Linked DNA regions of Drosophila melanogaster. The gene in region 2 interacts genetically with the main gene of each other region. Each region holds a gene or a part of one and is shown on either strand. Other genes may lie near its edges.

The links. A genetic interaction does not mean that the proteins touch.
Region 1: of yata (region 2) and hig, changing one suppresses a phenotype caused by changing the other (phenotypic suppression), as found in Drosophila melanogaster (one study listed by BioGRID).

The regions. Positions count from the first base shown.
Region 1 is NT_033778.4:9,244,226-9,248,938, reverse strand, and holds the start of hig (hikaru genki), read left to right. Parts: upstream 1-1,689; 5' UTR 1,690-2,044; coding exon 2,045-2,174; intron 2,175-4,528; exon of another isoform or gene 4,529-4,607; coding exon of another isoform or gene 4,608-4,713. Other genes in the region: Cyp4p3 (cytochrome P450 4p3), read right to left, coding at 4,608-4,713.
Region 2 is NT_033777.3:29,747,478-29,755,048, forward strand, and holds yata (yata), read left to right. Parts: upstream 1-1,741; 5' UTR 1,742-2,313; coding exon 2,314-2,691; intron 2,692-2,750; coding exon 2,751-2,974; intron 2,975-3,034; coding exon 3,035-3,440; intron 3,441-3,503; coding exon 3,504-4,146; intron 4,147-4,216; coding exon 4,217-4,381; intron 4,382-4,446; coding exon 4,447-4,592; intron 4,593-4,661; coding exon 4,662-4,790; intron 4,791-4,851; coding exon 4,852-5,254; intron 5,255-5,352; coding exon 5,353-5,480; 3' UTR 5,481-7,051; downstream 7,052-7,571. Other genes in the region: ATPsyngamma (ATP synthase, gamma subunit), read right to left, coding at 377-1,270.

The DNA.
Region 1 (4,713 bases), on a different chromosome or scaffold from region 2:
TAATTGTCTTGATTAAATAATTTAATCTGCTAAATGCAGGCATTTTAATCTAGAAAAGCTGCGACCATGTCAGGTGCACGCACTTCATTGGCACCCAGGAAATCATTGGTTATTAGCCTTCGGCCCGTCGGCATCGAATTGAGTTGGAATACCAGAGATGTAATTTCAGCCTGCGGTTGCAGGGCAGCAAATTGAATTTTGCTGTAAAGCCGCTCGTTGCCAGGAGGCAGGATAAACATGCTAAACGTATAAATTTTCAGCCTGATTGCATTCCAAAGTTTCGGGCCACTAGGACGGCATGCCAGAAACTATACACAAAAGATAATGCCGCTGCACAATTGGATTGCCAGCTGAGGGGGAGAATGCAGCACACAAACATTCATTTTCCACTCGACTGGAGTTGAGCGCGTTTCGCATTCGCATTCGCATTTGGTATTTCGCATTTCAGCAAAATTTCAATGCGACAGACAAGAGCGACCCAGACGGTATTGTTACGGTTACGCTTTAGGACCAGGACTAACCTGAACCTCCAATGAGTGACATTTATCTTGCGAGGACAACAAGGGGCGTCCTGTCGGAGCATTCATTTGCGTAATTAGTGGCCAAGTGGCATCCGCAACCTGGTTGCCAAATGCCAAATGCCATTTGGCTTCGGTCGCAGAGCAGAGGCCTCAAAATCACCGCAACTGCTGCTTGATTATTGGCCAGGACCAAAAGGAATGGCCAGCAGACAGGCGACGTCAGCACAATTGATAGCATACTTCTCAGGGCAGCGGCAGCTGAGGAGCAGCAAAGGTGAGTCCCTTGCCGAGCACTTGGCTCCACTGCACTCCTTAGCCACAATAGAATGTACCCACTTTGAATTTGTAGTAAACACGGAAGCACACTTTTGAATTTATAAACATATAATTAGCTACAAAAAAATTGCATTTAGTTGCTAAGCTTACCGCCAAGTAAAAATCATAAAATTTAAACTTTAGCAGTTATTGCCAATGTATCCAAAAATGTAATTCTCATATTTATCTCCTACATACAATATTTCAATTAAATAATTATAGTCGTCTAGTTATTGTACCTTATGTGCTCATGTTTTCGGGCTATATAAATCGCAGTTTTAAGCCAATAACATTTTCAGCAACGATTTCCCCTAGTGAATTAGGAAATAGTAATTGATTTTATGCGATTGATTCACTGCTGCACCAGTAAAAAGTATCTGCCTGAACTAAGGAAGTATAATTAAATTAGTTTTAAACTGGAAAGTAACCGAATCAACGTGGCAAGCAAGCGGAAAACTTCATTTGTAGCTGGGAATTGGCCACGTGGGTGGGCGGTGTTCCTTGGTTGGTTCGGGGGGGAGTGGGAAAAAGGAGAGCTACGTGAGAGTTACAAGGGCACGCACGCAGACACACGGGCACAGCGAAAAGCGAAAGCAGCGAGAGAGGAAAATCGGAGATGACGAAAAACAGCAACAGCAACGGCAATGGCAACAGCGACTAAGCAAAACATGGGCCAAACCAAAACAAAAACACACGATTTGCCGGCAAAATGCACGTGACACATCCTTTGGCGAGCTTCGTCGAGTGCGATCCTTCGTCGAGTGCCGAATGCAGCCGATTGCAGCCGAACGAAGCAGAGCCGAAGCTGCGCAGAATCCAACGAGAGGTATAAAAGCGAGACGCTCGCCGCACTCGTGGCATTCGATTGTCGTCGCTCGAGAGGATAGGTGCCCAGCTTCGAAAAGGATAAAACCCCGCAAAGGACTCTAAGTAAAAGTGAAACTTTAAAGCCAAAGAGCACACACACATACACATACACGCGCACACGTTGCATACAGTTTGGCGCGAGTGTGGGTTACTGCTGGCGGTACGCCAGTGTGTGTGTGTGAGTTGGCCAAGTGGATTTCTATTTTTGGCCCATTAAGAAGTCAACTCGTGAAGTGCAGTGGTGTTAAATTCGTTGCTATTTGAAAGGACTCATCGGGTTGCTTAACAAACGAAAACAAAACAACGCCGAAACTCTGGCAATCGCAATCTGATCCTTGGACATGTGGAGCAGGCAGCGAATGCGCCATAAGCCGCTTTGGGCCCTAATATCCTTGACCGTTTTGCTGCTGGTCCTGGACAAAAGCAATGCCAACACGGAGCCCGTCGAGACCAGCACCACATCCGAGCCAGGTGAGTCCTAATTGCCCCGCACACACGTGGGCTCCTCCGTTTGACCTTCACTCACTGGACGGACGAAAAGCGTAAATAAATTATGACGGGCCGCCTCGAACTCGGTCACTTTATTAAATGGCCTTCCACGCATCCATGGAAATCGGACAGTTCACAGCTTCCAGCTCCCAGCGATTATCACACACGCTCGAACAAAAAGGATATAAATCCGGAGTAGAAATGAATTCGTAACCGGGAGGGGAAGCTACAGAGCGCAAGAGCAAATAACTGGCAGCAAATGAAATATTTCACGGCATCTGCGGCACAAAGGCAATCAAAGCGAGCCGAGAGCCCATGGGCAACCTTAATCCCAATCAGAGTCAACAAACAAGCAAGGGCATCGCGAAAACGGGGCACTGCGGAAAATATTTGGCAACAAATTTTTAGGTTGCTTTTCATATTAAATTATAAAAGACATGCTTATAAGGTGCAAGGATAATGGCTTTTATTATGAATCATTCAAAGCAAGACATCATGAAGTCTTTAAAGTTAGTTTTCAAACGCAATCACAAACATTATTTTTCAGTAAGAATAAAGAAAAACATGATTGTCATGTATGACAAATCGAAATAAATTTTCGTATAGCATTCACATAAATATTTAAAATCATTATGTATTTCACACCTTGTAAAATAATTATTTAACCTTTATTTCGAGCGTATTATGATAATTTATTAGGTAAGAATTTAATGATAAATTTAGTTATTTTTGATCAAATATATTTTCAATTACATATGTATATTTATACATTATAAATTATGATTACTGAACATTTTGAACATGTGAAATCATTAATAAGGCGCAAACTTAATGCATACTTTTGATTGTTAGACCTTTGCTCCTAAATCTCAACGAAACTTAATTCCGCTGGCAGTCACCAATAATTTCTCTCAGTGCACTAGGGGAAGGGGAGCTGAAAGGTAGCTCGGGCAAGCGGCAATTGCACGAAAGTCCGTAATGAAGTATGGCAGGCAGGCCGTCCGAGGCTGGTAATAGAAATTAATAGCGTCATGTGTGAGTTTTGCGAAAGGGAAGGAAGACTTTGGACGGGGGAATGGGTGGATGTGGGGTACAAGGGACAAGGGAAGTGGGAAAAAGGATACAGGGGAAGTGTAAAGTGCCCGACAGCGACACGCAGATGCGCATAAAGTAATTAATTCACTCTGCCTCCATCGGCATCGCCATCGCCATCGCCATCCCTCCAGTCGGTTGCCTTCTAATTTCCCCTGGCAAATCGACAGGACCAGCTGTTGAGCTGCTGAGCTTTTGGGGTTTCGTCCTTCAGTCAGGCAAAAGTGCGTCGCACTTATCTTCTTTTTTTTTCTTTTGTGGCGGATATTGCGACTTCTTATTTCGCCTTTTGGTGCGCAGTTTGGCAGTCAGTCAGGTGAGAGGGGTGCCGATTCTTAGATTTTCTGAGATCCAAACGTTCGCTTGACACATGTGAAAGCGAGGGAAATTTAATTTACATGACTCACAAATGGAATCCATTTAATGTTGACTTATGGCGACGAAGCACTAGCGCACAGAGCACTAATGAAATATGCAGTAGCCGAGTAGCAGCTAAAACCAGAGCTGCCTTTCACCCATTTCCATGTGCTGTCCCATAAATCCTGGGTCCCCAGGATGGATGATGATGTTGGAACGAGTTGGGCGCACACTAAAAAATATGCGTTTACGATAATTATTTTCAATAGTAGAGTAGTAGTAAGCCACATATAAAAGAGAAGCTAACTAAAAATATCCCTTCGAAACATGATATAAATATTTCATAAAATAAATAGGAAGCCAAAGATAGATGGAACTTATTTCAGTGCACCACACACAGTGCATTTTGCGAGCCCATGGTCACCCATGTCTTTTTGCCACATTTTATGTGCTTAGAACAAAGCTGAGTCTGCATTATGCATGCAAATGGTATAACTGAGTAACGAACTGTCAAAATCGCAGTTAAAGCAAAAAGGAGTCGTTGGGAAAGGGATGTAGCCTCGGCAGGAGGAGGAAAACCAAATGACAAAAAGTCGCCAGCGCATTATGCATTTGCATTCCCATATATGTGAGCTAAAGGACAGAGATTACTTGACTTTTCCTGGGCTGCCTCAAAAATAATAGGAGGGGTAGGAAATGACAGGGAGCTCCCACTGTGTGGGAAATGGGAGTTGGAATTGTAATAGCTGCTGGAAAAGAAGAAGAGAAGTGCTTCTACCCGCCAGGGCATGAATGATTTATAGGGCGGCAGCTGTCGAGATGCCAACGATTATCGGCCATAAGCTAGTCACAGGACATTTTTGCACCAAGAGAAAGAAGAAAGGAGTCTTTGGATGAAACTATTGTTCACTGTGCACTTTATGACTAACAGAGTTCCGTGAACAATTCCATTCCGTTAAAGCTGCCTCATTTTCTTCTCACGAGCTTCACGTGAATCTGGTTCTTGGTCCGCAGTGTTAGTCCAGTTTGAAAAACAATAGTTTTCGGATCGATTTCTGGTAGAATTTGGAAC
Region 2 (7,571 bases):
AAGTTTAAAGAGTATCAAAATATACATAAACGTTCCAATAGTTTTTTGGTCATTAGTCATTGCCACTTGAAATTTGAGACTTTATGCACATTAAGTTATATCAATGGGTCTTTGCATAAGAATGCAATCGAATCCCATGATATCAATGTGTAAAAACCAAACAGACCTGTGCAAGTGCTTTCAAATTCCTTGCCTCCCACTCCAATTAGGTAAGGACTCCATGGTTAAAGTTATTTTCGTTCGTTCCACGCTATTTATTCTGGGGTTTTTCTGAAAGAGTAACATTACTAGGGCTCCAGGCGTAGCTCCAGGTGCCTGGCACCATATGCAATTAGCTGTATGAATCGTTAGAGCTGTTCGAACACATTCCATTCGCTTATGTGAGGGCGGCGGCACCGGAGATGATTTCAATCAGCTCGCGAGTGATGACCGCCTGTCGGGTACGGTTGAAGGTGAGGGTCAGCTTGTCGATCATCTCACCGGCGTTCTTGGAAGCGTTGTCCATGGCAGTCATACGGGAGGACTGCTCCGAGCAGGCGCCCTCCTTCATGGTGTAGAAGATGAGCGAGGCCAGCGAGAACTCCAGATAGCTCTTGACCACGTCGCTGTCGAGCGAGTCGTAGACGGCCAGCTTCTCCGACTTCTCCACGGTGGATCCGCTGAAGATGGGGAGGGTGGAGCACTGGTAGGACACCACCGACTTGAAACGGTTGTACACGATCTTGCCCTCGGTGTAATCGTAACCGGTCTGCAGAACCTCGTTGGCAATCTTCGAGGCGTCCAGGAAAGTGGGGGGCAGTCGGCCCACCTCGTTGGCCACCATCAGGATGTTCTTGCCGTACAGACGGGACAGAATCGCGCGCGACTTGTCGCCCACGCAGAACACCTTAGTGTTGGCCTCGTCCTGGGCCAGTTCGCCGCGAATGAGACGGGCCACACCAGTGTGGACGGCACCGCAAAGACCACGGTCCGAAGTCACTGCGATGAGCAGCTTCTTGGGCTCCGCCTTCTCGTCCGGCTGGATCTCCGTCTTCTCGAAGAACTGCTGGGCGCCGATGCCGTAAGGACGAGCCGCCTTCAAGTCTCGCTCGGCACGAGCGTACTTGGCAGCGGACACCATCTTCATCGATTGCGTAATTTTCTGAATGTTCTTCACCGACTTCAGGCGGATGGAAATCATCTTCAGGGTGGCCATGCCACGCTGCTGCTGGGCCAGCATGGTGGCCTCCATGGCCAGGGGCAGCAGGAGCTGGGTGCGTTGCATCATCATCCTGTGAGTTGTCGAAGATTCCCTGTCGCGAAAATTAGCTCGATTCACTCGGCAAAAATTGAGAAAATTCACCTACCTTGCGTTAAGTTGGCTGCGCCACAACGAGTGTTATAACACCGAGCAGAGTTGCCACCCAGTTCGGGTTAACGCGGTGGCGATTCGTGGTGAACGGTAAAATATTATATTAAATAATTTATTTTAATTATGGAAATTTCGGATAATGGATTTGTGCTACATATAACTATTAATATTGGATAAAATACAAAACTTCTTTGGAAAGCTTCAGAATGCACAATAAAGCTTGAAATTAATTTGAATTTATGTAACTCATAATTATGACAATAGAGTTAAAAACAGAATAATAATTGATAAGGATTAAGAGGTTTGCCAAAGATGCCAGCTTGTTTTCTACCCTCGACCAGAGTTTTCCTTCTCCTTGCCAGCTCTGTTTTGGAATCAGCTGCTCACGCACGAGCCACGAAGTTCCGTCACTAACGCCTCACGCAAAAAAAAGCTGACGTACTCGGGAAAAAGATTAGGATAATTCGACGGAGACGAGCGCCCGATCCGATCTACTGACTCCCCCGACCCGCAGCAGAGCCACATAGACACGATCGCCCTGTCCAGGACACCCGGGATCCCAGGGATGAGACCTCTGGGGACGAAAAACAGCGGATAAGTTAGCTGTGTGCGTGTGTGTGTGCGTAAGCAAAGCTGGAAAATTGTTGCTGCGCATCGGAGGAAAATAAAGGACATCAGGCGGCTGGATTGGCATGAGGAGGATAGGGCTCAAGCCAAGGCTAAAGACAGAGGCATAGTGCTTGAGGATAAACCGAGAATCGGGGCTCCACCGATTTCAGTGCCTTTGTGTGGCAGCAACAAGGTGTGCGTGTGTGTGAGTGCGTGCGTGCGTGTGTGCGTGCGTGTGTTGCCTGCGCAGTGCGTTGTTGTTGCAGTTGCAATCGCCAGTTGTTGCTGTTGTTGTTGCTGTTGCTGTGTGACACAACAGTAACAAAATATTGAGCCGCCGAGCAAAACACATAATGTGGTCGTTCTTCTCGCGCGACTCCTCGAAAGACTTCCCCTACGACATTGGCGAACCGGTGGGCGGCTTTGACCAATACTCCATATGGACGCTGCACAAGGCCAAGCGCAAGACGACGCTGGAGGAGGTGTCTGTGTTCGTCTACGACATCCGTAGCGGATCCGACACCAAGTGCGAGCTGGCCAAGGCGGCGCTGAAGCGCCTCAAGACATTGCGTCACCCCAGCATCCTGCAGTATCTGGACTCGCTGGAAACGGACAAGATGTTGTACGTGGCCACCGAGGCGGTGGATCCGCTGGGCACTTACTTTTCCAAGCTGGGCAGCGACAATGTCCAAAAGGGCCTCTACCTGGCCTGGGGCATCTTCCAGATCACTGTGGGTATCCATATCCCTGATATTTTGCCCTAGCTAACCAAGTCACCAATCCCTTTCAGCGCGCCCTGTCCTTTCTCAACAACGATGGCAATCTGCGACACAACAATGTTTCCGCCTGGTCGGTGTTTGTCAATGCCTCCGGCGAATGGAAACTGGGCAGCCTGGAGTACGTCTCAGCGGCGGATGGTAATCCCATGCCGCCCGCCAAAATACCTGTGACCCTGGAGGTCTACGATTCCCCCGAAAAGAACGATCCGAGCAAGCTCAAGGCGGCCACCAAATGGTACGTAATCCTCTCACCTTAGACTATTTTAATAATCCTTCAAATCGGATTCTCTACCAGCTCCGTGGACATGTGGGGCCTGGGCTGCCTCGTGTGGGAAGCTTTCAACGGTGTGCTCAAGCAACGCTCCAACCTCAAGGATATAGAACACATACCCAAGTCCCTGCAATCGCTCTATTGTGAGCTGGTTGGCGCCTCGCCTTCGAATCGTCCCAACCCGGCGGATATAATCACACGTTGCCGCAAGCCTGGAGGCTTTTTCAAAAACGATTTGGTGGACACACTGCTCTTCCTAGAGGAGATCCAAATCAAGGACAAGGCGGAGAAGAATCGCTTCTTCAGTGGTCTGACCACGCATCTCGACAACTTTCCGGACAACGTGTGCAGGCATAAGATTCTTCCACAGCTGATAACAGCCTACGAGTACGGAGATGCGGGCTCTGCCGTGCTGGCTCCCATGTTTAAGGTTGTCTATTGAATTGGCATACTCCTATATGACTTGATTTCACAAAGAGTTATAATCTTGCAGCTGGGCAAACTGCTGGACGAGGTGGAGTACCAGAAACGCATTGTGCCCTGCGTGGTCAAACTGTTCGCTTCCACGGATCGAGTGACGCGATCGCGCCTGCTGCAGCAGCTGGATCTGTTCATCGCGCACTTGCAGCCACAGGTGGTCAACGATCAGATTTTCCCACAGGTGGCTCACGGGTTCCTAGACACCAACGCCACCATACGTGAGCAGACGGTCAAGTCGATTATCCACTTGGCGCCCAAGCTCAACTACAACAACCTGAATGTGGAGGTCCTGCGTCACTTTGCCAGGCTGCAGGCGCGGGATGACCAAGGTGGAATTCGCACCAATACGACGGTCTGTCTGGGCAAGATTGCGCCGCATTTGCATCCGCAGGTGCGTCAGCGTGTGCTGGTCTCCGCTTTCATTCGTGCCATGCGGGATCCTTTTCCGCCGGCAAGAGTCGCCGGTGTCCTGGCGCTGGCCGCCACACAGCAGTACTTTTTGCTCAGCGAGGTGGCCAACCGCGTTCTGCCATCACTGTGTTCCCTCACCGTTGATCCGGAGAAGACGGTGCGCGATCCGGCGTTCAAAACTATCAGAGGCTTCTTGGGCAAACTGGAGAAGGTCTCCGAGGATCCCAGTTTGCGGGAAACGATGGGTGAGTACTTTACAATATTGTTAATTAATGAAATCCTAACTAGGTTACTAATCAAATATTTCGTTCGCAGAGGCGGATGTTCACACGGCCACGCCTTCGATTGGCAATGCGGCGGCCACATGGGCGGGATGGGCGGTGACGGCCGTCACAGCAAAGTTCTATCGCAGCCAAAGTGATTCGTCTCGACCACGACCGCCTTTAACTGGACGCAATCTGTCCAAGCCAGCGTCGCTTGGTAAGTATTCGCCTCGCTTATGCAATTACCACAATGCAATTAACCCGGCCTGCATTTGCGAGCAGAACAACCATCGAGCAGCAGTTTATCGACCACCACGAGCAGTGTTACCTCAATGACGTCGCTGGAGCATGAAAGCAATGACACCTCCGCCTCGGCCTCCGATTATGGCAACAACGATTGGGACAACGAAAACTGGGGCGAAATGGATGTAAGTAGTGGTGTTCGAATCGACTGGCTTTTGAATGCTGCTAATTATGCTCGATTATTTTAATTTTAGACCTCTCAGGATCCCAGCAGTCCGCTGGCGGCCAGCTCCAATAATGGCGCCTTGATGGCAGCCAATGCCTTGAGCGAAGTGCGCGACGGCTGGGACAACGAGGAGTGGGGCAGTCTCGAGGAGGATCCGGTGAGATCTGATCAAACTAACTAACTCAAACTTGTTACTAACTCAATTGGGTGGGTTTCAGTGCGAGGAGGAGGAGCAGGCGGAGCAGGAGCAGCAGCAACAACAGCTGGCTAGACAATCGATATCATCCACGTCATCCAGTCAGCCAAATCAGCGCCCGCTGCTGCCACATCAGCAGCAGTATCCACATCAGCAGCAGCTGCAGCAGCACGAGCTAAACGATCTGATCGAGCCGCTGGCCAAGCTCAACTCGCACGTCACCTCGCCGTCGAAGCAGTCGATGCTCCGGCCAAAGGAGCTGCCCAATCTATCCAGCAGCAACACATCGCCCACGTCGGCCACTGCCAATTGCAATAACATTAGCCCGCCTTCGTCGCATTTGAATAATTCGACGCATAATGCCAATTGGAATAGCGATTCGTGGGCCGACGGGGAGTTTGAGCCACTGGATGAATCGGGATTCGGTGAGTTCCTCACGCTAACATGCCTATTGCCATATCAGATTTCCCTTCTGGCGACCCACTTGGTGAATCGACCCACTAACGAAACCGATACTTTTCAGGCAATGCCAAACTGGACGAGGCCCGACGCAAGCGGGAGGAGAAGAAGCTGCAGCGGCAGCGGGAGTTGGAGGCGCGACGGGCCCAGCGGGCGAGCGGCCCCATGAAGCTGGGCGCCAAAAAGCTTTAAAAGTAATCAGCCGATAACAGCGACGTGTGTTGCTTAGCTGTTATTCGCATCGTACATCTAAGCCCAAAGTGTATTTTGTATATTTCCGTGCGTGTGTGTCTTGTCCCGGCCCCGATTTGTCCAATTTGTCCCATTGGTCCCATTTGCCCCATTTGGCCCATTTGGCCGCTCTGTGTGTGCTTTGTGTTTGTATTGGGTGCCAGTTTGCATTAAATGCAATCTCAGTGTCTCGAGCCTCCATTTCGATTCCGTAAAATATAGCCGTTTTGTATTTCTAATGCTGGCACGATATTAGCTAATATATTCAGCGTCTCTAACGAAAATTCCAATGTAAAGCACTGTAATTAAACCTGTAATTTATATTTATAAACCAACCAGTAGCTAGTAAATTACTTCAAATTTATACCCTAATTAATCGACTAAATAAGCGTGATTGTCAGAGTGACAGGATTGAGAGTCGGGGACTCAATCGATATCAGCGAGGAGTGGATACGAGGTCCTTTTCCAATCCCACTATCAATGAGCGAATGGATATGGATGTGCGTGTGTCTGATTTCAAAACCCATTTTAGTCGCCCCTTTCCAAAGGCTAACACTTGATGGATGGATGGATGCCAATCCACGCGATTTTCGAGGGACAGTGAATATTTAGAAATCTAAACTAAACGTATTTTTGCGAATGGAGCGTAACCAAAATTGTGAATTTTAATACATAAATGATAGCAGATATTTTTATATAGTGCATAATAAAGGGGAAACGAAAACGATATAGAACCAACCAAATAGAAACAACCGAAATCGAAACAACCGCAAGCAATTATAAAAGGAAACAATTTTAAAGCCTTTCAGCGATACATTTGTAGTAGAATTGCACTTGTTATATTACATAGATGTCCTACGTTGCCATAAATAGGAACGATCAGGAATCGATGTCCTCCCGGTCGGTTCGCTGCGGCAACTGGCCCACTTTCCGTTGGACACTCCTCGATTTTTACCCAGTAAGAACAGCACCAAGCGCAAGGCCATTTTTGCATGTCGAACTAGTAGCGTTACCTAGCGTAATCTTACACTTTTGGATGTCCTGTACATACACTTAGATACAGATACAGATACAGATACGGATGCAAGTGCATATGCAGATACAGATATACATATACCTAACATATATGCCGATTTTTTCCAATACCTCAATATCAGTGTACAATTTTTCCATAATATATTTTTGAAATACAAACGAAACTAATAACCCGCAGCGAGGAAATACGATGTGAAAATGTTGACTTTTTAAAAATCTCATTGTTGTCGCCGCGTCTGTTTGCATTTGGAGCAAACGCCACACATACATATGTATATTTGTAATTAATGCAACTCTCGATTCCAATATGCCACGCCTACCCCGCGTTCCGCCCTCCCCGCCACCAACCACACCTATTGGCATTCATTTTCTTATAGCAAATTCTCTCAGCAAATTTAACATTAGCGTAACGAACTATTCAAAAAACTCATTGAAAAATAAACAAGAAATTGAAGCAACATGGAAAATGTATTGTTTAGACAAATTTTTAAGACTGCAAAAGTGAAAAACAAGAAAAACCAAAAATCAATTGAAAGTGGTAATGGTAAATTACAAGAAAACTAAATTATTTAGTACTAATCATCAGTAAAATAAATTTTGAAATAATAACCATGTTCTTCTCTTCGGAAATCCCAATGCTAACGCAACAAGTGGTAAGTGGAAATCCAAATGGCTCAAATGGATGGATGCACTCTCCAGCTTTTCGCACACATCTGATCAATTGGATAAATATATATGTAAATATACGTATTTAATGGCCAAATGCCATCTGTTTTGGCAAATGTTTCCGATGGCCACGCGATAATTGCAACAATGCAAACGCAAGTCTTTGTTTATTACTGGCAGTTTGCAGTTGGCGCAGCTGCTTTTTGCAGTTTTTTCGAGGACAGTTCACATGGGTAGATGGGGATATCATAAAAAATCCAAATAGATTGCTAGAAAAAGGGGAAAAAATATATATAATATTGAACTTTGATAAAAGCACTGGTGACATCACTTTTAAATGAAGACGTGACT